2 linked regions of the Lytechinus pictus genome follow. The protein of the gene in region 1 interacts with the protein of each later gene in a pairwise test. Links are inferred from orthologs where the notes say so. Each region holds a gene or a part of one and is shown on either strand. Other genes may lie near its edges. The genes, in order: pre-mRNA-splicing factor SLU7-like and peptidyl-prolyl cis-trans isomerase-like 3.

Evidence for each region.
Region 2: the proteins of pre-mRNA-splicing factor SLU7-like (region 1) and peptidyl-prolyl cis-trans isomerase-like 3 interact in binary tests that used the Homo sapiens proteins (3 or more experiments, as listed by UniProt). The link is inferred for Lytechinus pictus from reciprocal best matches to the Homo sapiens genes SLU7 and PPIL3.

Annotation. Positions count from the first base shown.
Region 1 is NC_087256.1:22,743,304-22,756,307, forward strand, and holds the start of pre-mRNA-splicing factor SLU7-like, read right to left. Parts: upstream 6,102-13,004; 5' UTR 6,018-6,101; intron 2,915-6,017; 5' UTR 2,889-2,914; coding exon 2,728-2,888; intron 1,526-2,727; coding exon 1,378-1,525; intron 1-1,377. UniProt on the Homo sapiens protein: Required for pre-mRNA splicing as component of the spliceosome. Participates in the second catalytic step of pre-mRNA splicing, when the free hydroxyl group of exon I attacks the 3'-splice site to generate spliced mRNA and the excised lariat intron.
Region 2 is NC_087259.1:15,882,133-15,894,969, reverse strand, and holds the start of peptidyl-prolyl cis-trans isomerase-like 3, read right to left. Parts: upstream 6,259-12,837; coding exon 6,253-6,258; intron 5,766-6,252; coding exon 5,638-5,765; intron 4,692-5,637; coding exon 4,583-4,691; intron 3,202-4,582; coding exon 3,083-3,201; intron 2,658-3,082; coding exon 2,522-2,657; 3' UTR 1-2,521. UniProt on the Homo sapiens protein: PPIases accelerate the folding of proteins. It catalyzes the cis-trans isomerization of proline imidic peptide bonds in oligopeptides. May be involved in pre-mRNA splicing.

The sequences.
Region 1 (13,004 bases):
GGATAAGGTTCACAGAACAACAGGCGCGGGGTATTTGAGGAGATTACCACATGGGAAGTGTGACCTTCCCACGAACCCAAGCACTGGAACCGTTGGAATTTGCCATTGTGTGGTCTTTTTGACCAATCAGAGTGCAGTATACTTGTTTTCAAGCTGCTTTATGTACTTGGCAAATGAAAAGTGTGATCTTGACCCGATTAAACCGATTCTTATTTTGAAACCTATATCATTTCAAAGCATACATATTCAGCTTTATCATGATATAAAAATCATTTGGGCTCAAACAAAAATAAAGTGTGAAAAAAGCAGCTTTTGTCAGGTGAAAATATTTTTTTTGTAGCATATTTTAGATCAAAATTTTAACCTATATTACAAAATCTTTGAATAAATCCAAACACATGACCTGAAAGAATGATTCTTCTTCTTTACAATGGTACCAAATTCATGAAATTCCATGCATAATTAGAGCAGCAATGACCGAATGAAAAGAGGTGTTTTGGTCCGCATCAAGCTCATTAAATATGCAAAACATCTCAAGTCATGAATATCACTTGGATGAAAGAAGCCACTTTCTTGGGACCTGCAGTCTGACTGAAATCCCCCCATGCATGCTTTGGGGTGAATATTCTTTCACCACACGCCAGGTCACGCCAAGATCTGTCACAAACAAGATTCAAGAATTCTCAGAAAATCAATATTCTGATTATGGCAGAATAATGATATTACTTGCTATTACTGCACAATTGCCTGTTACCCCTAAAAAGTAGTACTTAAAATGACGGAAAAAAAATAGCCCCAAAATTCTGTAAATGCCCCCAAAGTGGAAAATAAAGATAGCCCATTAAAATCAAAATTATTTCCTACCCTGTTTTTTGTAACAAACATCCCACACCGAATAGTCCCCCATTATATATAGTAAATTGCCAATTCGTCCACTGCCAACTCGTCCACTCACCACATGGTCTACCTTCATTTAGTCTAATGCCATTCCATCCATCTACATTTCGTCTAACAACTATTTGGTCCAATCATCACATTGTCTAATCACCAGTTCATCCATTACCGTTTCGTCTAATAACCAGTTGGTCTAATACCCATTTAATTTCCTTCATTTTGCACAATTAATACTTTAGTTTAATTAGACCAAATGGTATATGAACTAACTGGCTGTTGGACCAACTGGTTATTAAACGGAATGGCATTAGACTAAATGAAAGTAGACCATACGGTGAGTGGACGAACTGATGGTAGACCAAATGATAGTAGACGAGTTGGCAATTGGACAAATTGGAAATAAACCTTATATACAATACGGTAAATGTACTGCATACAGACTTTCCCTTTTATATAGCTAAGAAGTTTTTGACAGAACTTTACCTCCTCCACACCTTTCTTGTACCAGGAACTAATGGCCGACACATCTTTCTTGAATCTCTGAGGCCGCTGATGCTTGAGGGTAGGTTTGTCAAAGCCAACATACCATGGTACTGTTGCAATGTATTGTGGGATATGTGGATTGATGTCCCTAGAGAACAGGAATAAAAAAATTAATTTTTATCAGAATTATCTCGATCATTTTTACTTCTTGAGAAGCAGATTGATTTAAATATATTTTTAGGCAGAGTGTCAGATTTTAGAGCGATTAACTATTTTTTTTTTCTGCTTCAGTTTTATCTTCTTTCCCTTTTTAGCATAATTTTTATACATGTGTAAATAGTGGTCAACTAATGTGTGCTGAACTTTACTTTCTTTTCAGTGCCTTCCCCCTAATTTGGAAATCCAGTGGTGGTATTCTGAAAATTGAGAGACCGCTATGATTGTCATAACTTTGTATCCTGAAGATTGTCTTCTCTCTATCAAATCTCTCCAAGTTCCTGCCCATCGTTTCACAGACAGCCCATTCGATACTATTGTTAGTTCCCAGTGAAAGCTCTCCTAACCTATAGAAAGGCCCAGGTACACATAGGGTGTATCCTCAATACAGTAGCTGGGTGTTGCAAGACTGCATGTTAATAAAGCTTAATTATAGTTTATACAGACAAATAACTGAGAAGGATTTTTAGAAGAGTGGGAGAAAAAATGGGGAAAAGTGGAAGAAATATGTAGGACATTCCTTCTTGTAACATGAAAATTATATTTTGGGAAAGTCATGAATGATGTGTGAAATGTATACCATAATCTAATCTAAATACATATCAATTTGTGCTTGACATAGTGGGCATGGAAGGAACCAGGATAGCATGGCACTTATTATGACAAAATTTATGAATGGTGGACCCTGTCAAAAATGTTATCATCATGCGCATTTATGAATTCTAAAAAAAAAAATTGTGCTTGCTAAAAATAAGAGGAAAAAATTATAACAAGATTAATGACAAAAGTTATGACATTGACCACCAGACTACTGATTCATTCATATCTCTGAAAAAAGATACAATATTGAGAGAAGACGATGTTCAGAATACCGCCCCTGGATTTGCCCATGCTTTATACATGTATGATATTGATTTTTCAAGGTCGCATAGAGATTTTATGACATACTTTCCAGAGAGCGTAAAGTGGCAGGCAGTTTATGTTCAAAAGCTTACCAAATGAAATGGAGTATTACAGAATACCTGGGTTATGGTAACACAAAGCTCTTGGTTACATTGACAGTTATGTGCAACGATCAAGGATACAAACCAACTATATGATCAATCACCTTTTGTTTAAGGCTACTGTACTTACTTTCCCTCTTCATCAACCAAAGCAGGAGCAGTACCAGCTTTACGAGCCTCTTCTAACTCCTTGGCCTTCCTCCAGTCCTCTCGTTTGCTCCCTTGGCTCGGGGCCTCCGTCTTCTGGGACATGGCCGCCACAGAAGGCAGCGTTGTCCCTTGATAGGACATGACACTGGTCTACTGGTCAGTACTTCCTAAGTGACAAAATGTACAAAAAATAAGGATGTCAGAGAAATTGAGCGAATCATATAAAAATGGATAAAAAAAGAGCTAAAAGTTTGGAACCAGGCCAATAAATTGACTTCAGTGGGACTAATTATGTATTCATGAGGTCATATCTCCGGCCCCCATGGACCGATTCGCACCCAATTTCGGTAGTGGGGGTATTTCATCATGCTCTAGCAAAATATGGTATCAAAAATGCTGAAATGCAAAATTGGAAAATTGATGACATCACACCTTGAGCAGGAAATGTGTGTATTTAAGTTTTGTCAGACATGTATCAATCAGATATGATTATTTACGTCTGGGACCGACCTTTAATGGCACCATCCGATAGACGTGACCAGGGTTCGAACCTCTGCATCAATTTGTAACTTCCTCACGTACGTTGGATTACAGGCGCACGCCACAACGCCCAGTTTTAAGCCGATATTACGACTAGTCTAATCTCCAAGAGTACAGTGGAATTATTTTTCTGACTAAATAAATCGATGCCATTGGGAACTGCACACACCTGAACATTTGACGGAATAAGGCCATATTTTTTCATACATGTATGTACCGGTATTTAACTTTCCTTACTAAATCTCTTATAATATATAATATATATTATAATTATATGCATGTATGACTTGATAAAATCCATATTTTATTTTTCAATTTTACTGGAGTAAAGGGGGACGTACATGTATAGAAGTCTTGCCACGATGGGTGCACGGCCGCACACTGGAGCAGACAAATTTGAAGGGCAGGGCCGGGGCTGTCATCTGTCGAATCGCAAAGCATGGCGCAAAGCAAAACATAGCAATACATTTCAAGATTTTATTAAACTTTGGTCTCTGTATTTGGTGGGTGGAGCCAACGGAGTTATGCGGAACAACCAATTTAACAGAGACCGAAGCTTTTGGTCTATTGAAAAATATTGCAATTGAAAACAGACAAGTATTAGTCAACCATTATTGATGCAAATGTCATTTTGAGTTTGTGAAAAGACATTTCAGAACAAAATATATTGCAGAAATTCCAAGCTGGAAAGAGTTCCTTTTGCAACAGCCACCCAAACATAAAAATCGATCAAATAGGGTCACTAGACTGGCCAAACAAAAGAGGGTGATTTTTTTAAGGGAGTTTGGTAAATGGATTTTTTTTTTTTTTTTGGGGGGGGGGGGGTTATCATAAAAGTTAAAAAAAAATAAATATAAAAATATGATTTTTTTTACAATATCACTTTTGCTTTCTCTTCCTCTCTCTTCCCAGCCCGAAAAGCCAAGGTAAACAAAAATATGTTTCAAACATTTGTCATTCATGTCATTATGACGTTTTATTTAAATTACTTTAGAAGTTTAGTTTAAAACAAAACTTTTAATTATGGAATATGGTCACGTATAACTTAAGAAGGCATAGACCAAAAGCTTCAGTCTCTGTATTTTGGTTGCTCCGCTGAACTACGTTGGCTCACTCACCAATGGGGATGATACTAGTAAAATGTCAGGAATCAGAGTTGTCCTGACCCCAAATGTCAGAAATTCCCAGAAACGACGCCGGTTATTCCCGTCTAAACTAAAGAAGGCAAGACAGGCACTAGACCAAAAGCTTCGGTCTATGTTAATTATGTTGGTTGTTCAGCTGAACTCCGTTGGCTTCACTCACCAAATACAGAGACCGAAGTTCTAGCGCGATCTGTACAGGGGACGAATGGCCATATGTTTATGTGTATTAAGTTCGGATAAAACAGGGCAGTGAAGTTGCGCGACAGCAGAGGTAAGTCACTGTTTTTGTTCCTTTTAACTTGATTTTCCCAGTGTTTTGGCAATTAATGCCAAGAGTAGGGTGTCTGGAGAAAAAAATTATTTATCTTATTTCAAGAAAATATCACATTTTCTTTGTGAATTTGAAGAGAAATGACCTTCAGACTGACAGAAATGTAACATTTTTGAAAAAAATCCAATTATTGGCTGCAAAAAAGAAGAATGAAATTAGGTAAATTTTCAGCATTTCTCTGCCATAGACTGTGTAGTTAAGAAATGAACATACACAAATCCAAATTTTTAGCTTCCGAGAGCTGTTATAAATTTATTATTAATGCCAAAAACTTGTCCATAAAGAGTCCAATAGGATTTTTTATGCTCTATCTGATGGTATGATTTTTATAAAGATTTGGAAACCAGATCACAATGAAAAATTGCGACAAAGTGAAAAAAATTGTGCAAAACAGAAATGTCATTTTCCCATAGAAAACGCATGGAGAAATGGCAATCTCAACACACACAAAAATAAGGGTTTGCAATTTATCTCTAAATCCTTATTTAAAATGATCATATAAACTTGTCCTTACTGTCAAAAGAAGCCCCTGAATTTTCTCTTTCCATACATGCCAAACACAAGTTAATAATCAATTCAGATCACATTTTTCTAGTACTAGTAGCCTGAACTTCCCCGAAAAAATGTGCCATATTTCCCCCTAAATTAGCCTGTTTTATGCTGACACTTTTCAGTGTGGCTTCAGACACCCTACCATTACCAAGAGGGAATATTAATTTGCATTTCAGTCGCGTTAATTTTCATAAGTTTGATTCATTAAAGACAAAAATTGAAGAGCCCCGACGGGGGGATTTTGCATTGTAAGTCCCCTAATGGTGGCTGCACGATAGCGAGCCGTCTGTGTACGAGGAGAAATTAAAAAAATTAAAAAATGTTAAAAAACTCCTCGAAACAGACGGCTGCCAGCTGTCTAGACAGGCACTAGCTCATGAAAACATAAAAAATTTCCATCTTAAATAAGATGGGGGAACTGAACACGTTGGCAGGGCCAAGGGAGATTTTTAAAGGGAAAACAAAAGTATAATAAAAATAAAATTAAAGGAAAGGGGGCAGTTTTTAGTGGACCCACAATTAGACTTAGAGACATCAAATGAAAGTAGTGGGACCAGGCGCAAAATCTAGAAAAAAAAGGAAGGAATAATTTTGGCATAAATCATGAAAATAACGCAAAATTGCGAATACTAAGTTTCCCTGTGGTATATCAACCTAAAAATAGCATGTCGCTTCCGTTAAAAATTAATTTTTAACACTTACTGGCAAATATTGGATCCAAATACGCAATTCGTCGCGGACGCAGACATGACATAAATAGGGAAAGCATCATCATGCATATCGATCATGCATGGAGATCTTCATCTATAATTATGTTCATAGGTTTTGTTTATGTGTTTTAACAAATTCTAAGGGTTTTATACCCCAAAAATATATAATTTTATTTAAAATCTATACTATCTGATGGAATTAAAATTGAAAAAATAGAATATAACTTAAAATATAACAATATATTTCCTACGTCTTTAAAATCGGCTTTCAGCCTTGTAAATTGGCAACAACGTAGTTATATAAACGCTATTTTCCCCTCACTCACCGTGCGAAGCACTGTGGAAAGCCGTGATCGTCTAGAGGTTAGGACATTGCGTTGTGGCCGCAATAACCCAGGTTCGAATCCTGGTCACGGCATTTTTGCTGCAATTTTTGCATTTTGTTTGTTGCTTTCTTCCACTTTAGTGATTTTATCATGGTGATGATGACTGTGATAATAACAATAGTACTGATAATTATGATGAATATAATAATGATAGTGCTGGAACTGAAATAAATTTGACATTGTCATAACAAGCTCCAAAAAATTAAGCAAGGATGATATCTTAATAGATTTAAATACAGTAAGAAGTTTGCTAAATTTTTCCATCTTTTCTTTTCTTTAGCCAGCAAGATTGTTTAAAGTCTGAATGATAATCTGAAAAAAATGAAAAATTGATCAAAGTGTTGCTAAATTGTGTCAAATTCACTAAGCCTCATGCTAATGGCACACATGAGCACCACCCCCTTTTTTTTGGGGGGGGGGAGGGGGCAAACATATATGGAACAATTTTATTTTTCTTATAAAAAAGTTGCAAATGAGTGAAGTGAGCAAGAAAAATGTTTAATTAACCCTCTTGATATCAGAATTTTTTTTTTAAAATACATTTTGGCAATAAAATATCATATTCATACTTTTTTTTACCTTTACTAGTGCGTTCTTTTTCTCATTTGTTTGTGGGTATGCCTTGCAAGCTAACAAGTGAGGAAGAGAGATAGAGAGGGAGAGACTGAAATAAACTCGAACCGAGGGAGAATGAGAGATGGGTATCAATTAACAGTTGGCTCGTCAGTTGGACAGAATAGTGAAAATCTTATATGCATCAGATAGCCAGTACACCCTTTGTATTTTTTTCTGTGTATTTGTTTTTAGTCTAACATCTCAAATTGACAAGACATGGGTTAAACAATGTTAACTTTTGTGTGTGTGTGTGTCAATATGTTTGGCAGAGAATTATTTAACAATAATTTCAAGAAAGCATTAATAATGAGATGGAAGATTTGAATAAAAAGAGACTTGTGCCTATAACAATTTTTCTTCATCATGGAGATTTTGAACTACAAGTAAACTAGAATTTAAGTGTAAGATATTTTACCAGTACGTAGTAGGCCTACGTGAAATATACATGTTCCAACTTTTATCCATATTTTGTACATGGGTGTAGAATCAACGCCAAAAGGTTTATTGAAATTGGGTTCTAATTATTATGGAGAGATTTTGTCCTAGACCTCCTTCATTTTGGTGCGTAAACAACTAATTTGTTGGTTGTCAAGTTTTCTGAACAAAATCGCATTTGGAGCGAGTTTAAAATTTGTGTATTTATAGTAAAAACTGCTATATTTTTCACTGACCTAGAGGTTTTAATATTTCTTTGCCAGCTGTTCAGTTTACTTCTTATCTTTTTTCTCTCTTTCTTTCTTTCTTTCATTGTTCTGTTCATTGTAAGTTTGAAATGACACGATGGCTTTCATGGGTTAGTCTGCAGGGACAGACTCTGATCGAAACTTTGATCTCCACGCAAAGACTGGCTATAGCACATACAAAACTTTAATGCTGTTTCAATCCTGAGCGATCAGGGCTTCCAGTACACAAGGCGTTATAGGCTGCAAATTCAGACCCTTAACTCGAGTGAAGGGTTTGCAAAGCAGACTAGCTCTTGGCTACCATGACTTGGTTTTGAGGGTTTGTGCCTTTACTACAACACTAGCTAGTTGTAATTGAAATGGGGGGGGGGGGGGGGGTGTGTACGCGTGTAATGCTACCATTAAAGGGGGTATACTCCAGGCTGAAGATAATTATGATTTGAACAGATAAAAAAAAAATTGGGCAATCAAAATACTGAAAATTTGATCAAAATCGGACAAAGATAACAAATAAATTATGACATATGAAAGTTTTGCTTTATTCCTGTACAGTTCTAGGCACTTTTTCATGAATATTCAATAAGCAAATTGATGTCATATCCTCATTTTTTTTTTTTATTATGTGAAATGAAGGTTTCTACAATTTTTTCCTCTTAGAAGTAGTGAAATTGGATTGACAACTGGTTTATATTGCATTAGATATTGATTGCTGCAATTTATTTCATTAAGAGAGACATATCATTCAAACATGTATGAAATAATGAAACAATTATGATTCCATAAGAAAACATAACATAGGAAAAAGGAAAGTGGGAATGTGGCATCATCAGCCCACCTAATGAATATTCAAAACGACGTGCACATAACTGTTTTCGCAAAATATTGCTAAACTTTAAAATCCAATAACTTCATTATTTTTTATCAGATTTGAATACTTTCTTCTCTATTTATTTAGTTTTAAATTTTGAATAAAAGGCCCAGAGTACCCCTTTATGGAAGTTCAAGGTAATTTGAGCTTTTAAAATGTACAAGCTCACCTTGCTGCAAGACTGATGTGAAATTTAAATTGGACGTGGATGAACTAGGGGAAAGCCTTAGCTTCATAAGTCACGGGTGGGCAAAACTATTCTGGCTTTAATTTGCCTTCTTTGGTTCTTTTTTTTTTTTATCTCTCTCTTTCTTCCTTATCCCCCTATTCCTCCCTTTCCTATATCACAGCCGGCCCGTGCCCCCCCCCCCCTTTGAGAAGCAAAATTATTTTTTTTAATGTAAACATGCTGTTAAAACGGAAGTGTGCGCCCCTTTTAAAAGTGGAGACCCTTTTTTTTTGCTTATTTTTTTTCGGGGGCGAAATATCCTTAATTTTTAGTTAAAATCCTTTTTTTTTTTTTCGAGGACGAAATATTACTTCTCGGTTAAGAGCCTCTTTTTTTGCCTGTCAAATTTTCCTCGGAAATGTGCCCCCCTTTTGGAAAATCCTGGATCTGCCCCTGCCTGCCTCTCCCTTTCCATTCCCTTCATTCTCTTTCTTTCATTTTCCTGTCCATCGTCTCTCCTCTTCTTCATATTCTTGTTTTGTCCTCTCTCTTTTCTGTCTCCTCTCCCTTTCCATTCCTTCCCTTCTTTCTCTCTCTTCTCCCATGCCTTTTATTTTCCTCCACATTCAATTATAATTTTGCAGGGGAGCACTATATTGCTTTCTTTAGTCACGGAAAGGCAGAATGGGGACACGTCTCATAAGGGGGCCGGGGGTATCAAAATGTGAATGAATTGATTAAATAAATTTGTTAGCCTAGCTCTAACTACTAGAGAATTACTAGTCTGACAACAAATTGGTTTCTGCTAAAACAAAAACATTTCACTGGAAAATAATCAAACAATCACTCATTATCTCCCGTCTAGGGTCCAGAAGTTTATTTCTGTACAATTCTGTTTAATACACAATGTATTAAGAATAGATAAATAGTTCAATATTAAACAAATAAGCAAATTCAACAATATATGACAAAGTGAATCATAAGCATATCAATAATTACATGGATTACAATATTGAATTGGCCTGAAATTACTTATCTTGTTATACAGTAGTGTCAGGAACTTATCATTATAATGGAAAAAAATACAAATGTATTTCTTCTACTAGAGGGACTATTATAGTACAAATTAATCACACATTGGACCAGTGTACTGGCTAATCAATAAGATATATGATGTCTCTTTCGGTGAAATAACATCAACCCCATGAGTAGTCTATAGTGAATCATGTTGGAGGTTATTTCTGATGAGTAGTAACTCAAATAAATACTAGAAGCTGTTCAAAACAGTTTTTTGTATTTTCTTAGGGCCAAACCAAATATTGACCGGGCTTTATGCAATGTACGTGATATAGGCCACACACACACATTATTATCTAATTATTGACCATGGATTTCAGCTAAAACATCATATAAAATATAAAAATTAGTTTTCAGTAAAAAGTTAGTTTTAGATTTAGACCATATACTCTTTAGCAAAGTTATGCTACACGTAGTTTCTCAATGGTTGAACTAGTTATTTGGAAAAAAATGCAACAAATACATTCGTTTTCAGCACCCGACAACATGCAAAATAAATGCAGCACAAACAAAACCCACAGTAAATTATAAGAACATAGCAACTCGGCATCTAGTATAAACTAACAAAATTCTACAAGCTCTATTGAATATAATCATTCCTCTGTGGGCAAATTAAAGAGTCTGCAAACAGCAGACAGGAGCCAAATCAAAGTCAAGGTGAGAGCAAGAGTCTAGCTTGTCCGTAGAATAATTTATAAATATCAATAACAAAAACAAATAAAGATGAATTTGCAAACCATCTACCAAAATCGAAAAGGGATTACTTACAATGTTCAATTCAATTGATTTAATTTCAGCTCTAAATTTTTCATATTTACAATAATCATACAATTGCATAGTAGCATATAATCCTATTTTAAGTATATGAAGATTAACATAACATTAAAATAGACAATTATCAAAACAAAATATAAATTGAAAGGAAGGCAATGTTCAATTCAATTGTTTTAATTTCAGCTCTCAATTTTTCATATTTACAATAATTATACAATTGCTCAGTAGCATATAATCATATTTTCAGTATATGAAGATTAACATGATATAAAAATAGACAATTATCAAAACAAAATATAAATTGAAAGGAAGGGAGGGCCAACTGAAAAGGAGAGATTGTATAATGTAGCCCCCCCCCCGAAATTGTAATTATATGTATGTATTTAGAGAAAATGATAACAAGGATGATTCCTTATTACTTGGATAATTCAAATACAGTTCCAGGTTTGCCAAATTATTCCTTCTTTTTTTTTCTTCAACCAGCAAGATTGTTTTCAGTCTGAATGATAATCTGAAAAAAAAAATGGAAAACTTGATCAAACTTTTGCTGAATTTGGTCAAATTCATAAGCCTCATGTCAATTCTATTAAACATGTGTTAAGGTTATAAACAGTGTCAGGATGCAACGACAGTGGATCAAATAATGTTCATTACGATCCCGTTACAATCATTACGATCAATGAATATATTGCGCCAGCCCTCATTGTTTTTTTTTTTATATTTAGCAATCATATAACTATGCCGCCTAGCTTTTAAAATCAAATATATATTTGACCTCATGCTTTCTCAAAAAGGTTAGCATTTTGTCATTTAAACTTACAACTTGTTATGTCTTTCATATAGGTCTAACTATATGCCTATACATATATCATAGTTGTAAGAGATGAAAGTTTTTAAAGAACGCCCTCTATGTTTAGGTTTGGATACTAGTTCTACATCTTCTAAAGAAAGCATGGCAGGAATTTCAACATCTTGCAGCCACTATTTTTCAAAATTGTATTTGTATGTGTCAGATATCATTCAAACACATGTGTTATGATGCCAAAAATTAAACACTGACAAGAGTCAAGTGATTAAATATTTCATTCTTAGAGGATAAAGTTGGGAGAATTTTATCATCACATATCCTTATTTCAATAAAAAAAATGTGAAATGGAAATAATGTATATCTTATACTTATTCTTTTTCATTATTTTAAAGATTCACACAGGGAACATACATGTATTAAGCAAATGGAGTAAGCTTATATAAACCAATGTTAAAAGCCTCAGGTATTTTGCACATGTTCCCATTAAAATTTACATGTAAGGATAGAGGAAAAAACATGGAGAAAAATAAAAAAAGAAAAGGAACATGTTAGTTCACTGTGAAGGAAGATCTTGTTTATGGCGCAGACTTTAAGAACAGCGGGTATATGTTTGCAAGCTGTTGAACCGTAAAACTCTTATCCAAGAGTTCTTTTACAATTTCAACAAAATTTAAGAGAGGTAATAACACGATTATCCATTTTAGCAGGTCCCGATGGGATCAAGATTTTTTTAAAACTAAAGTGGCTACCCTGGGTAAAATATGACATTATCATTATCACCATAACTTGTGTCTTCACATTCAAACGTCAGCAGAGATGTCGCCTTCTTTCTTCTGGGTCCCGTTTTATAAAACTTGCTACAATACTAAGTTTACAATAACAGTTAAAAGCTACTGAAATTCTTCAATCTGATTGGCTGATAGTAAATTTGTTATAGAAATCATGTATTTCTTTTTATAACAAGTCTTTGTGAAACGGGACACTGCTAAGACAAGGTAAATTACACAAGATGGGCACCGGCTCTGTACATCTTGGATATATACCGGAGCTTCCAGAAGCCATCACAGAATTCGAGAAAGGGATGTTTGCAGCAAGGAGGTTGGGTGCCAGGGAGCTTCAACGCCACCTGCAGGGACCCATTGCAGAAAGTTTGTTGCAATCAAACCCGATTCTCGCTATCATTCACAACTTGATTTTCAACCAATCAAAAAAGTGCATTCAGGGTTTGTGCTTGATTTTTTTTTCTAAATGCAACTTGTTCTGCAACTTGTCACCGGGTCCCATTTTGTTGCAACGGATACTCAATTTCTATAACAAAATTTACTATCAGCCAATCTGATTGAAAGAATTCATTAGCCTTGTTACTGTAAATGTGTTGTTATAAAAAGTTTAATAAAACCCTGTTAAACGTAACTATGAGAAGACATCGAGACAGAAGAAATGGCAAAAGTAACAGTGGCACAAGGGGGCTGAAAAGTATATGCCGTCTCAACATAGAGAGCCAGGGATGTCAACCCATTAAAAAAAACAGTAGAAGAATCTGCCCCAGTAAGGAAAAGTTCATTCGTTGAATGCATCAGTGGAGAGCAATAAAGGTAA
Region 2 (12,837 bases), on another chromosome or scaffold:
TTTTTTGGATTTTTTAAAAAAAATCAAAAAAATCGGATTATTTTGATTTAAATCGGATTTTTATGATTTAAATCAGATTTTTTTTATTTTTTTCCAAAGAAAAAAAATGGTCACACTTAACAAGTTTTAAACTATATTTACACTGTTTTACACCAATAATAGTGGTCAAGTAGTCTTTTGAACATTGTGTATTGTACTATTTGACACAATAATCCACTTATATACAGGTAATTTTTTTTATTTATTTTTTATTTATTTGCATTATAGAGAGGTACATTTTATGGAAGCCCAAGTAATGTTATGTATTATGTATACATTTAAACTCTTGAAATTTTTATATCAGTCAGTTCAAAACATCAGAAGTGTTACTCCAATGCATGAAGTACTCAAAGAACTTGAGAATTTCTAACAAAATTGACATTATTAAAGGCCTGTAGGATAAGCACCACTGTCCACCACATCATTGATGTGCTGTTTTTTCAAACTATTACATGAACAAGCAAGCACAGCAGTTGTATTGCTGCATACAGTAACACTTGCCCAGCAACTTTCCCATTTTTAAATTCTTACTTATTAAGTATACATGTGTACTTTGAAATTGTGTAATTGAATGTATAAGAAAAGAAAATACACAAGCATGCAAAAATACATGTAATTCTTATCAAATGTACACATATGCCTTCAACTTAAGTAATTGAAAGAATGGGTATTAATAGTAACAAGAAGGAGGTACATATAAGTAGTTCAGCTGTTTTGTAAAAGTATCCAAGTTGTGGACTTTGAGCACCTTTGTAGATTTTATATATTATTTTATTGAAGATTTAACAGTTTGGTGTACATACAGAGAGTTATTTATCATTACTTCGTTAGAAACTTGTTGTTTTCATCAGTTTTGCTTGTTTTACAATTTGAAAATAAAACAGTGGTGTTAAATCAGACTCCATGAGGGTGTATCATTCTTTTAAAGTATCTCTAAAGCATGTGGAACAGAAATGAAAATGATTACATTTAAAGTATCTGTTAAGAAGAAGAGAAAATAGAGAAAAATAATTTTTTTCATAAAAGTTGATTTAAATCAGTGATTTTTTTGAAAAAAATCAAGTGATTTAAATCGCGATTTAAATCATGATTTAAATCGACATGATTTAAATCAAACAACCCTGATGAAAAAGTAAACCAAACAACTCACAATTAGACCAATCTTTAGGAGACACTTTCTTTTCATTATCTTGTCCCACTCATGGTCTTGTTTCCACATTCTGTCTACAAGCTTGTTCTACACTTTTGAAGAGGATCAAAATCCCCAGACTTTTCCCTAATTCGAGTCATTTTTACCAAATTCCCTCACTTTTCCATGACTGGAAAAAATGGTAAAATAATTTTCACAGACTTCCCTGATTAGCTGGGATCCCTGCGATTATACAAGGAGCATGATATGTAAGTGAAAAACAAAAATGCAGTGCCGTTCCCGAATAAAAACTGCTAATCTGAAAGTAATGTTTCTGTGAATAAAAGGCCACTTTTCTAGTACCTTTGAGATTGTCTTTATACACATTTCACAGGTTCTCGCCGTATTTTAGACATCTAAAATAAAAATGTAATATTCATTAAAGGCATCAGTTAAGATTGATTTGATTCTTAAAAGCATGAGCTGCAAGTACTAACTTATCACCTGTGTCTGTGATATGTTGTAAAAGTGAAGCCCTGCGAAAATTGCACCTGAAAATCATTATTTAGTGCTTCAAAAAGGTGAAAATAAAGTTTCTGTTGATGGTAACTCCCGTAGGAACTCCGCAGGGCAGCTTTAATTGCTGGTAAATGCCAAGCTGGTATATAACCAATTACCTAGGAAACATTTTACGTCTAGGTTAATCAGTCATAGTGGCTGACGTTATAGACGACAGATATTACTCTCTGTCTTTTTATGAAAGTGGAGACAATGATAGAGTCGGGATTGGAACTCACAACCTTGCGATTATGAGTCCAATGCTCTAACCACACGACCAGTGACAAGGGCCTTGTCTTACAAATAGTTGCAATTGTTACAATCGACCACAACTATGGAAAGCCAGCTACGTTAACATCTAAAATACATGTTTCATGATGTTTGTTTAAATATTTTCTAAATATGATGTATATTCATACATCCATCATTTTCTTGAAAATTCAGTGTGCTCCTCTTTGTTTACATAGGACATTGTGCAAATTTCCTGTAGAAAAAAATTGACACAGATGAATTTCCATATAGTTGAGGTTGATTGGATTAATCCTAACTCTTTGTAAGACGGTACCCTGAAACACCATCCAAACTTTATTCCATATACTGATATGTGGTACATTAGTCTCCACAGGGGATTAATAAAATGATGATTATTCAGTCACAGATATCTTTAAAGTGTCTGAATCTTCCTGGTTGTTGTTTTTTTTTATTTTTTATATGAACAACAGTAAATACAACACTTTTTCAAAATAATACCTTAAGAATTTTATCCAATACCTTTTAACACTACAGAATGAGACGCTATGATGCGTCATCAGCTATGGGGTTGGCATGTATTGTAACTGTCTTGATTCTACATTCTGTCAGAGGTCGGAAGTTTTTCTCGTTGATTCTTAACTTCTCAAGCTCGTCCAAAGTCTCTAGGCCATCAATGACTCTGACAAATAGAATTACAGACAAAGAAAGAATCATTATTACATATGACTTTGATACAAAATGAAAGGGGTGATGAATATTGGAAATGTTCATATTATTAGTGTATAAATTAGATATTTAACATTCAAGTATATACATATAAGAAATATTGAAAATATATCTGCATCAATCGACATACTGTAGATGATTCAAACTCACTTCTCCCAACATATTTCCTTTAGCTCCCAACATGGATAGATTTAAGAAATGTATTACTTCATATTTAATTAGTTGTGAGAACTTTCTTCTATATTTATTTCAATAATGCTTTGTAATTTGATAAATATGGGTCACTATTCATCATATCACGATGGTAATATCAGGTCCAAAAGATTATGAAAAACAAATAAATAAAATGAAAACAAAAAATCATTAAGATTTTCTTACTTTCCAATGATGGTGTATTTCATGTCAAGATGAGGCTGCTTTCCATACGTGATGAAGAATTGTGACCCAATGGTATTTGGTCCATTGTTCGCCATGGAAACGACCCCTCGTATATTATGCTGGAAGATAAAAACAAGGGACATGGAGAGATAATACGAAACAAATGGAATGCCTCTGGCAGGCTCGTCTGCATTACACGATTCAACATAGCAGCAGTGCTGACTTTGACAGCAACTAAGATGATTATTTTTATTCTTAAGAAAGGGGAGAAAATAACATTAATTTGGATAATGAAATACTAAGTTTGTGGACCTCAATGACCTTTCACATGTACCTTGACTGACAAACTTGTTATTCATGTTATACTATTTTTCATATCAAATAACAATATCTGTGTTTCATGTAGTTTGATTAGTATTTTTAAAATGTGTTAATGTTTTTTATTATTTTAGCATTCTTAAGTATTTTTTAAATAATGAATAAAATATCAATCAGAGTTAATTGATCTGAAATGACCTTTGACCTTCACCAAGTAACCTGAAATTATACTCATCTATTAAATTTCTGAAATCTGTTGATTGATCTTTACATCCAAATTTTATAAAAAATAAATTCTGGTACAGATTAAATTTTGGAAGAAATTGTCAAAAAAGGATCAACAATCAAGATACCACATGGGCAAGACCCATTTGGTCTACTACCAGTTTGGTCCAATTGCTGTTCAGTTGACACTACACTTGGCCTAATGCCTACTTATAGTCTAATTATCATCATGTCTAAAGCCCAAATGATCTAAAGTCCACTTAGTCTGCTTATTATTTTTCACTTTGTCAAATGAAAATTTGGTTCATAAACAGTTTAGCTAATCATGAGGGCAGTCTGCACCAGCCCGAGTTTTCAAATAATCACGCTATTTCTGATCCGGCAAATTATCCAGTCTCGAGATTATTTGTAATGGAGATGCGATCATCGTGATAGTTCGCTGGATTAATCTCAAGATTGCAATCCTCAGTCAACTTGGGATTATTTTCAAAATAGCGTGCTATTTTCAAATTATCCCGCTAATTCACAGGTGCAGACACATTCGAGATTAGTCATTCACGGCGTCAGACTACAATGCATCGATGCCTCGCTTGAGCACGAATTGCTCTTCTTGCACTGGAGGAGATGAGGTTTCTTGAATCTCGAGATTAATCGCGAAGAGGGCTGATCGTGCTAAAATCTCGAGATTGAGCAAACTCGGGCTGGTGCATCACAGCCTATATACACAAATTTGTGGTATACCAGGTGATTGGGGATAAGATAGATATAGTAATACTGGAATTAGACAAAATGGTAAATGGGCGAAATGGCAATTACACCAAATGGTTCTAGTAGACAAATTGGTTGTAGAGGAACTGAGATTAGACCACGTAGGATGGGACCGAACTGAAAGTAGACTAAGTGGGTGATGACCAAGTGGCAATATAGCAAATGTTCTCTGTTTGGCTATTAACTAACCTTTAAATCATCATCGAGTTCATCTTCAAGTTTCTTTCCCCAGCAGCTAGTTCCACCCTTCCCGGTTCCTGTTGGATCCCCCGTCTGTACCATGAAGCCTGGGATATTTCTAGGAAAAAAAGAAAACAAATAGCAAAATAAATATCAAGAAGTGCTCTTGCTTGGTTAGTTCGCTTTTGCAATAGTGAGAGGATGGTATGACATTGAAAATTGATTTTCCTCATAACAACAACAATGACAACAATTTTAATAATAATACTTTTACTAATAACAATAATAATAATAATACTAAATAGGTTCATTATTGCGGACTGAAATAATCGCTAGAGGGTATTCATTTGTCTCGCAATCTACTATAATAATCCAATAATAATAATGATAATAGTAATGATGATAATAATAATAAAAATGTTAGACCAACTGTCTATTAGACTAACTGGCTGTAGACCAAGTGGTAATAAGCTGATCCGGATGATGCCCTATTTGAAATGGCTGATTGAAAATTATATAAATAAAAAAACTCAGTGAAACTAATCAGAATCTCAAAGAAAGTCCCAATGCACCATTTCGGCAAAACCAGGGTGGGGGGGAGGCTTTGGACAAAAGGGTGGGCTCCCCATAACTCAACGTGATTTCATCCAACTCGGCGGTACAAGCCTTTTGAATGGCACCCATTCAAAATATTCATGTACTATATTAATGTAATATCGCAAAATTTAAGCAGTAAAACATTTTATTAGATCAAACCTCCTTATCAGGGTCCTGTTGCATAAAACTTGTGCCATAAAAAACTCTGGCAGACAAAATTGTGCCATTGACAATATCACATTGAAAAACTCTGGCAAAAAAAAATTGCCAGAGTTTTTCTTTTATGCAACAGGCGCCAGATCTGTTTTAGGGCATGCCCATTCATATATATCATAATTGACTGGAATAATGGCACATGAACTACTTGGGCATTTCCCAAAACTAAAAAACAGGCTTTAAAATTGAAAAGCGAAGGACTGCTTTAACTTTTCTGAAATATCAAGACCACATACATGTAGGTACTTTACCTGTGAAAGAGACAGTCATTGTAGTAATCGCTGGCACACAATGCTAAGAAGTTCTCACAAGTCCTGGGCACCTGATCACAAAATAACTCTATCTTGATATCACCAACATCTGTGTGGAGTGTCACCGACTAGAAAGCAAGAAAAGAGAGAGATGAATAAACATAAACGTATTCATCATGTGTTTTTGTAACAGAAATATATTCAGCAAGTTCACTGTAAGTTGAGTTTAACTAGTGTTTGGTTACATGCATATTTTTCAAATAAATTTTATTTACCTATTTTCTTTTTTGATGGGGTGGGGTTGGGCAAGGTAGGGGTTCAAATACAACTTTTAATCTAGGATATTTTTTAATAAGGGTCGACTACTAGTATTGCCTCTACTTGTAATCCCTTTGTGATATGTTGAAATTTGCTTATTTGTTATCGTAATCAGCAATAGGAATTTTCTAATGCGAGACAAATCAACTGAATCCCCATAAAAATCTTAATATCTGATAAATCTTGGAAAATGGCAGCTTCAGATTAAATATTTTAATGAAGGAGGGTAGAATATGGTTTCAAAATTTAATTTGCTTTTTTTAGGGGCAGGGGTTAATGATTATTGCCCCTCCTTACACTCATGATAGAGTTCATGAGATATGTTCAACTTGTGGCAAAATCAATCACCATGAAAAGGGAGTTAAAACAAATTACTCTTTCCTTCATTCATTCTTTCTTGTAATTAGTTTTTTCTTTCTTTTATATCCATCTTTCCTTCATTTTTGTTACATTTCTACAATACTTCCATTTTCCTTTCTTTCTCTTATCCATCACCACTTTCTTTTCTTTCTCTTTCTATCATCCTTCCTCTGTTTCCTTATCTTTCTTGCCGTTCCTTTTTTCTCATATTATTCATAACTTTCAAATGTTTATTTCCTTTCCTTCTTTCTTTTCCTTTCTTTTTCTTATAGCTCTTTATTTTGAATTTGTATTTATCTACCCCCTCTTCCACGCAAACCTCTCTCTCTCTCCCCCTCTCTCTCCCTGATTGCCCTCTGTCTGTCTGTCTCTTTCTCTCTCTCTCATTCCAACAGAACCTTATGTATGCCATGACATGTTAGTATGATCATTTTACCAATAGCTTACATGAACAAAGGTATGTCATTTACAAACGTTACGTTACACCAGAAAATTGAACAATATCAATGGTACATGTATCTCAATACATGCATATGTCCTACACTTATAGGTCAAATAAAAAACAGTAATTACAAAAACAACATCACTGTCTTCTCTGTGGTTTAATATCCATATCAATATTCCACACACATTCCACTGATTGCTATGATTGTGTACACAATAGAAAAATATATATATCATCCACTTTGCCACTTACATGTATACTACATTGAATGAAAATTCAAACAATGTTCAATAAAAGGTCAACCCTCTTTCAAAAATACCATTACACGTACATGTAGGCTTTTAATAAAATGATTAGAATATATTGTGGTAGTATTGTGTTCCTGTGTGCCATGTAACATAAAACTCTTAGTAAGCAAGTGATCATGACACAGATTTTACAACTGGGCCCCGTCTTACAAAGAGTTATAACTGATCCAATCAATCACAACTATGGATAGCCAGCAACGTCAACATCTAAAATACATGTTCCTTCAAATACATTCAAGATTTGATGTATAGTCATACATTTACTGATTTCTTGACAATTCAGTGTGCTTTATTTGTTTTTAAAGGACATTGAGCAAATTTCCTAACGAAAAAAATTATGACATCGCTGGATTTCCCTATATACATGTACTTGAGATTGATCGGATCAATCGTAACTCTTTGTAAGACGGGACCGAGGTCATATACAATGAGCAATGCAATTAATTGTATAAATCCGCCTCATGATCAGTTGCTATAATGTCAAAGGCCTGACTCACTCACCCCCCCTGACTACCTTCTGTGTAAAAGTCTCAGTAATCCATTACATTTATGCATGAATTTGGTGGCTTCACAATACGGTGCGCCATCTATCTGTTAAGCACGCTAGTACTAAAGTGAATGCATACATGCGATTATTCAGCGCTGGCCGACGCGGCTCGACCGGACATGCTATTTACTTGGGTCCAGGAGGTAGGAGAGAAATTGCCCGCATATTTCTTTGCAAAATTTAGACTGTTTTTGGTGAAATGGTGGCATTTGGTTTTCATTTTTGAAGTACTAGCACTACGCGCTGCATGGGCCTGTGCGCGATGTCGACCCCAAAGTTAGAAATTTTGCCTGTTCGCTGCAACCGATAGAAGGTGCACTATATTGTTAATCCACCGAATTAAAATGCATTAACAGCAGAATTGTCACAGAGTTACAGGGATTCCTTGATAAGGAATAAATAACACTACAAAAATCAAAGCATTAGGTGTGCTTGAATCAACCTTGAAAGTGTTATAACCTCAGTCTAATGTCCCTACAATTTTTTAGATACAAAGGATTACTGATAAAAATATCCAGTTTCATTTTTCTGCGATCAACTGAATGGATTTTACAATTTCAAAATTTAGGAAAGATTGGCATTTTTTTCAATTAAGCTCATTGAACTTCAGCATGTGCCAGTAGAGGGGGGGGCATAAATAATTGTGCTTTTCAATCATAAACCAAAAAGAGAGTAGTCAACATTTGGAATGACAAATTCTACAAAATGACCCTTTTGAATTTTAAAAATGCAATTTTCATCATTTATGCATCCTCTTGTATATTAAGAGTAGGCAGATTAATTTGATCTGCACGCGGGAATTGATCAATGATTTCAAAGACATCTCTCCCAGAATATTTCATTATGACCTCATGACTCATATCATTAAAACATGATGGTATTTTGAAAAAGGGGGGGAGCAACTTTTTTTATTGTTCATAATAACCCATTTTCAAGCTGATAAACATACAAAAAGTTGTACATTTACCACAACATTCTGTTACTTAATACTGCATATTTTTGTATTGAATATAAGCTATAATCAGAATAAATGGTCCATTACAAAATACTGATTACAAGCGAATGATAATGCAATTTGAGTGGCTGAGGTAACAACATGTCTATTATAGATTTCTACTAATGCCTGCTTTATTCTGTAGTAAAATTAATTAATTGAGCATTAATTAACTCAATAAAAATATACATTGCTTGAAAGATCTCATGTATACTGGAAGGGAATACAATTGTTTTCGAGGGTCCACTATCATCATGATAAAAAAGCATGAGATGGGGAAAAATGTTAAAATTTTGCTATTCGAGTAAATGTACATGCACATCCAACATTTGCCTGTACACATTTGGGTTCCATGTGTAATTTCCTTTTGTATACTTGACTATTATACGGTGAGAAATTAATATGAAGTTCAAAAGGCAATCACCATGTTATAAATCTATGCAAAAGTAGATGGCCTCATGATAAATAATCAGAGCCACTTGGTCTACTTTCAGTTGGTCTACTTCCAGATCATACAGTGTACTCCCTTAATATAGAGCTCTGTTGGTCATATTGCAATTTGGTCCAATTTTGGGGTCCAATTACCACTTGGCCTATACCTATTCCACAGATCATCTATTGATACAAAGCCCAATCACTAAATCCATTGATTTACTCTCAATGTAGTAGAATAGCCAATTGGCCCAATTATCACTTGGTCTACTACTTCATCCTGGTTATAACACCTATACAGGTGTTGGTCACGTTGCCCTTAGGTACATGTACATGTACAATCACCATTTAGTCTAATAGCCTTTGGTCTAACTCACATATTGTCCATTACTGCATGTACATTACATTACCAATAAAATATTTGGTCTACTGTCAATTTGGTCCAATCAGCGCATGGTCTACTACCAGTTTGGGTTATGCTCGATCATTTAACACCATGACGGCTACGTGTATAACTTTGGTCTATTTGCCGTTTGGTTTAACATCCACTTGTGCTAATAGTCAACAATAATAAAACTTCATTATCTGATACTAGTCCTTGCAATTTTTTAAGATAATGGCTATCAGATAATCTACATACACTGTCTGCAGGTTGTATACCTGGGGCCTGTCAGACTTGCGATTGATCCAATTAACCACAACTATGGAAAGCCAACAGAGTCAACATAGAAAATGCATGTTTGTTCAAAAATTTTACTAGATATGATGTATATTCATAAATTCATTAACTTTTTGACAATTTGGTGTGTTTCTCCTGTGTTTACAAAGGACATTGTGCAAATTTCCTGCAGAAAAAATTATGAAACTGATGGATTTTCATAGTTACGATTGATTGGATCAATCGTAACTATTTGAAAGACGAGGCCCAGATTGCACAAAGTATGAATGTGGTACTGACAATCTTTATCCCACTACCGTACTTGTACATGCAGCACAGTATAAGGTGGGCCAAGAAGGTAGACTAGGCATTACAGAGCACTTTTCATAAATAATCCTGTAACTGTCTACCTTTCCTTAATTCAGACACCTGAGTGTCCAGTGAATAATATCAATAATATTCCGCTTTTATATAGCGCTTAATACATCGATCCGAACGACATGTCTAAGCGCTTTACAGATTATTACCCAGTTATCGGATTCAATCAGTCATTCCCGCACACAATGTGTGCACATCCTCCACTCCCTGGGGAGTATTACAGTCAGTTACCGTTGGAGTGCACACAGTACTGGACAACCTACAATGACTTTCACATCCTACATGTACCGGGTACCCATTTAGCACCTGGGTCGAGAGTGGCAAAGTGTGGATTTATACCTTGCCAAAGAACGCTAGACCGCGGTGGGATTCGAGCACACGACCCTCTGTTTACAAAGTCAGAACCACTACACCACGGCTCTTTTAAATATATCGTAATATAAAACAACTGCATTACACTTTGAAAACACTGAACTCATACAGAAAAGCAAGATGACAAATTTTACAATTAAAGACCAAGTAACATATGATAAAATAATATGACTGTCATTTTGCTGCACACACAGATTGGGGAGACCTGAATTTTCATCCTTGATCAATACCTATTGTCAAATCATGGACCTGTCAAATCAAGGTCTTAAAATTCAATATTTATAGGGCAAGGAGGGCAAGGCCATTTTTCTATAAACTAGGGCACATATTTATGTTGCAGCAAAGATGAGAAAAGATAATAAAAAAGTGCAACAAATCTCCAAGACCAATATAAGAGGGGCACCAAGACCATTCAACAAAGTAATCACAGCCTTCAAATGGCCTTGATTTCCCAAATAGTCAGGTCCAGATTTTAAAAAATGTGCTCAGAAAAAGTGCTTTAGGCATTTTGTGTTAATGCTGATTTATCAATTGTTTTAAGGTAATTCAGGGGTGCTGAATCCAAAAATGCTGTTTGCCAAACTTGATTCCGACGTTTTTATCCTCAAATCGGCAAAAAACAAAATGGCGGCATTTTTAATGCAGTTTCCCATATTAAACGATTTTTATGGGTGATTGTATTTCAGAAATTGGGATATATGCGTTATATTTGATACCCAGGGTTGCAAACATAATGTGTCCGATTGATTCGTCAGCCATCTTTATTTACAAGATGGCTGCCATGATTCACAGCTGCTGATTGATAAATAATATGGCCAAATGATTAATCATTTTGGGGCGATGCTGGCATATTCACATTGTGATATCTTTAACATGTCCGCCATTTTTTCATTGCCTGCATAGCAGAAGCAAGACATGGACGTCACTTTTCCGACGGCGGCGATGACCATGGCGACGGTAAAGTCAACATCAAATATTAACTGAGTTTTTTAAATGTAATTACTTTTAGGGTATACAGTAGATGTCTATTTTATGAAACTTAGGCATGTTAGGATTAAACAAAGTCTATTTAGACAGGTTATAGTTACAAAAGGTCGTCAAGGTTACATGGAAATCCAACATAGCATCCAAAACGGCAGTCGTTGTACCATCAACTCCAAAAATAAAGTAAATCCTCAAAATCAAAATCTAAATCATCAAAATGCTTTCAAGGCAAATAATGAATCAGGACATGTTTACAAGATAGTCAGTGAGTTTGTCAGAGAATCCAAGATGACCTTCCAAAATGACGTCTATAATGGACGTCTGGACGTTGTATCTTTGAAATGGTCCAAATTCATATAATGTCCACCTGGTAGAAATAACTTTGGGGTCTACCGAGAATGAAATAAAACATAAAAAATTATGGTTCCAAAGGGGAAAAATTACATCGGAAAAATGTAAAGGTTTATCAGTGGTGCAGTTTGGCAAAAAAAAATGATGATGGCTTAAAAAATAGTTATTTCTTAAAAATTTTGCTGCAAAGTGCATATACTATTTACCTAGAAACATTTTTGTGTCTTTCTCATGATTTCAAGGGTCAGATAATATAGGTTAAGACGAATTACATTGATACACCGTTGTCCATTTTGTAAAGAAATTGAAGAACGCTCCAAAAATTACATTCGAATTGGCCACCATTGATACAAAAACGACAATACTTCATATCCCATCTATTGCCACTATTTTGGTGTCTCTGTTTTTAAGACTCATGAAAATTATGTTTTACAAGAGTTAGTGACATAATTAGATAGTGGTGCAACAATAAGTAAACATCCGAAAAACAAACTTTAAAAACTAAGGTACACTTTCACCTAAAAAGTTCCATAAATCACTGATAAGTATTTCAAGACACGTCATTTTGTGCTTAGGACTATCCCATGGTTTCACGATTATGGCACATCAGTCATTTTTACGCAATTTTAGAAGTCACTTTGGACTTTTTACGACGAAAAGAAAAACTGACCATCCTTTTTATTTGTCCCGATTTATTATTTTAGCCTTCAAACCACAGTAGTGTAGATTTTGTTCACCTAATTATGACTATGTTTAGGTGATGGAAGTCTTTTTAGACTCATTTTGAAAGCCATCTTTAAATAATCGGCAAAATGGACAGCTTCATACCATTCTAACTAATCCAAAAGTATTATTTAACTCTTGAAACCATAGTGTAGACACCAAAATCATATCTCCCAGATGGATTCTATATAGATTATGTCAATTTTTAAGTATCAGCAGCTATTTTACACTCCTTAATTGAAAGCCATCTTGGATTTTTAGACATACAGGACCACTGATTGCTCTTGTAACTTATCCTTATGTATGACTTGACCATTTAAACCAAGGAAT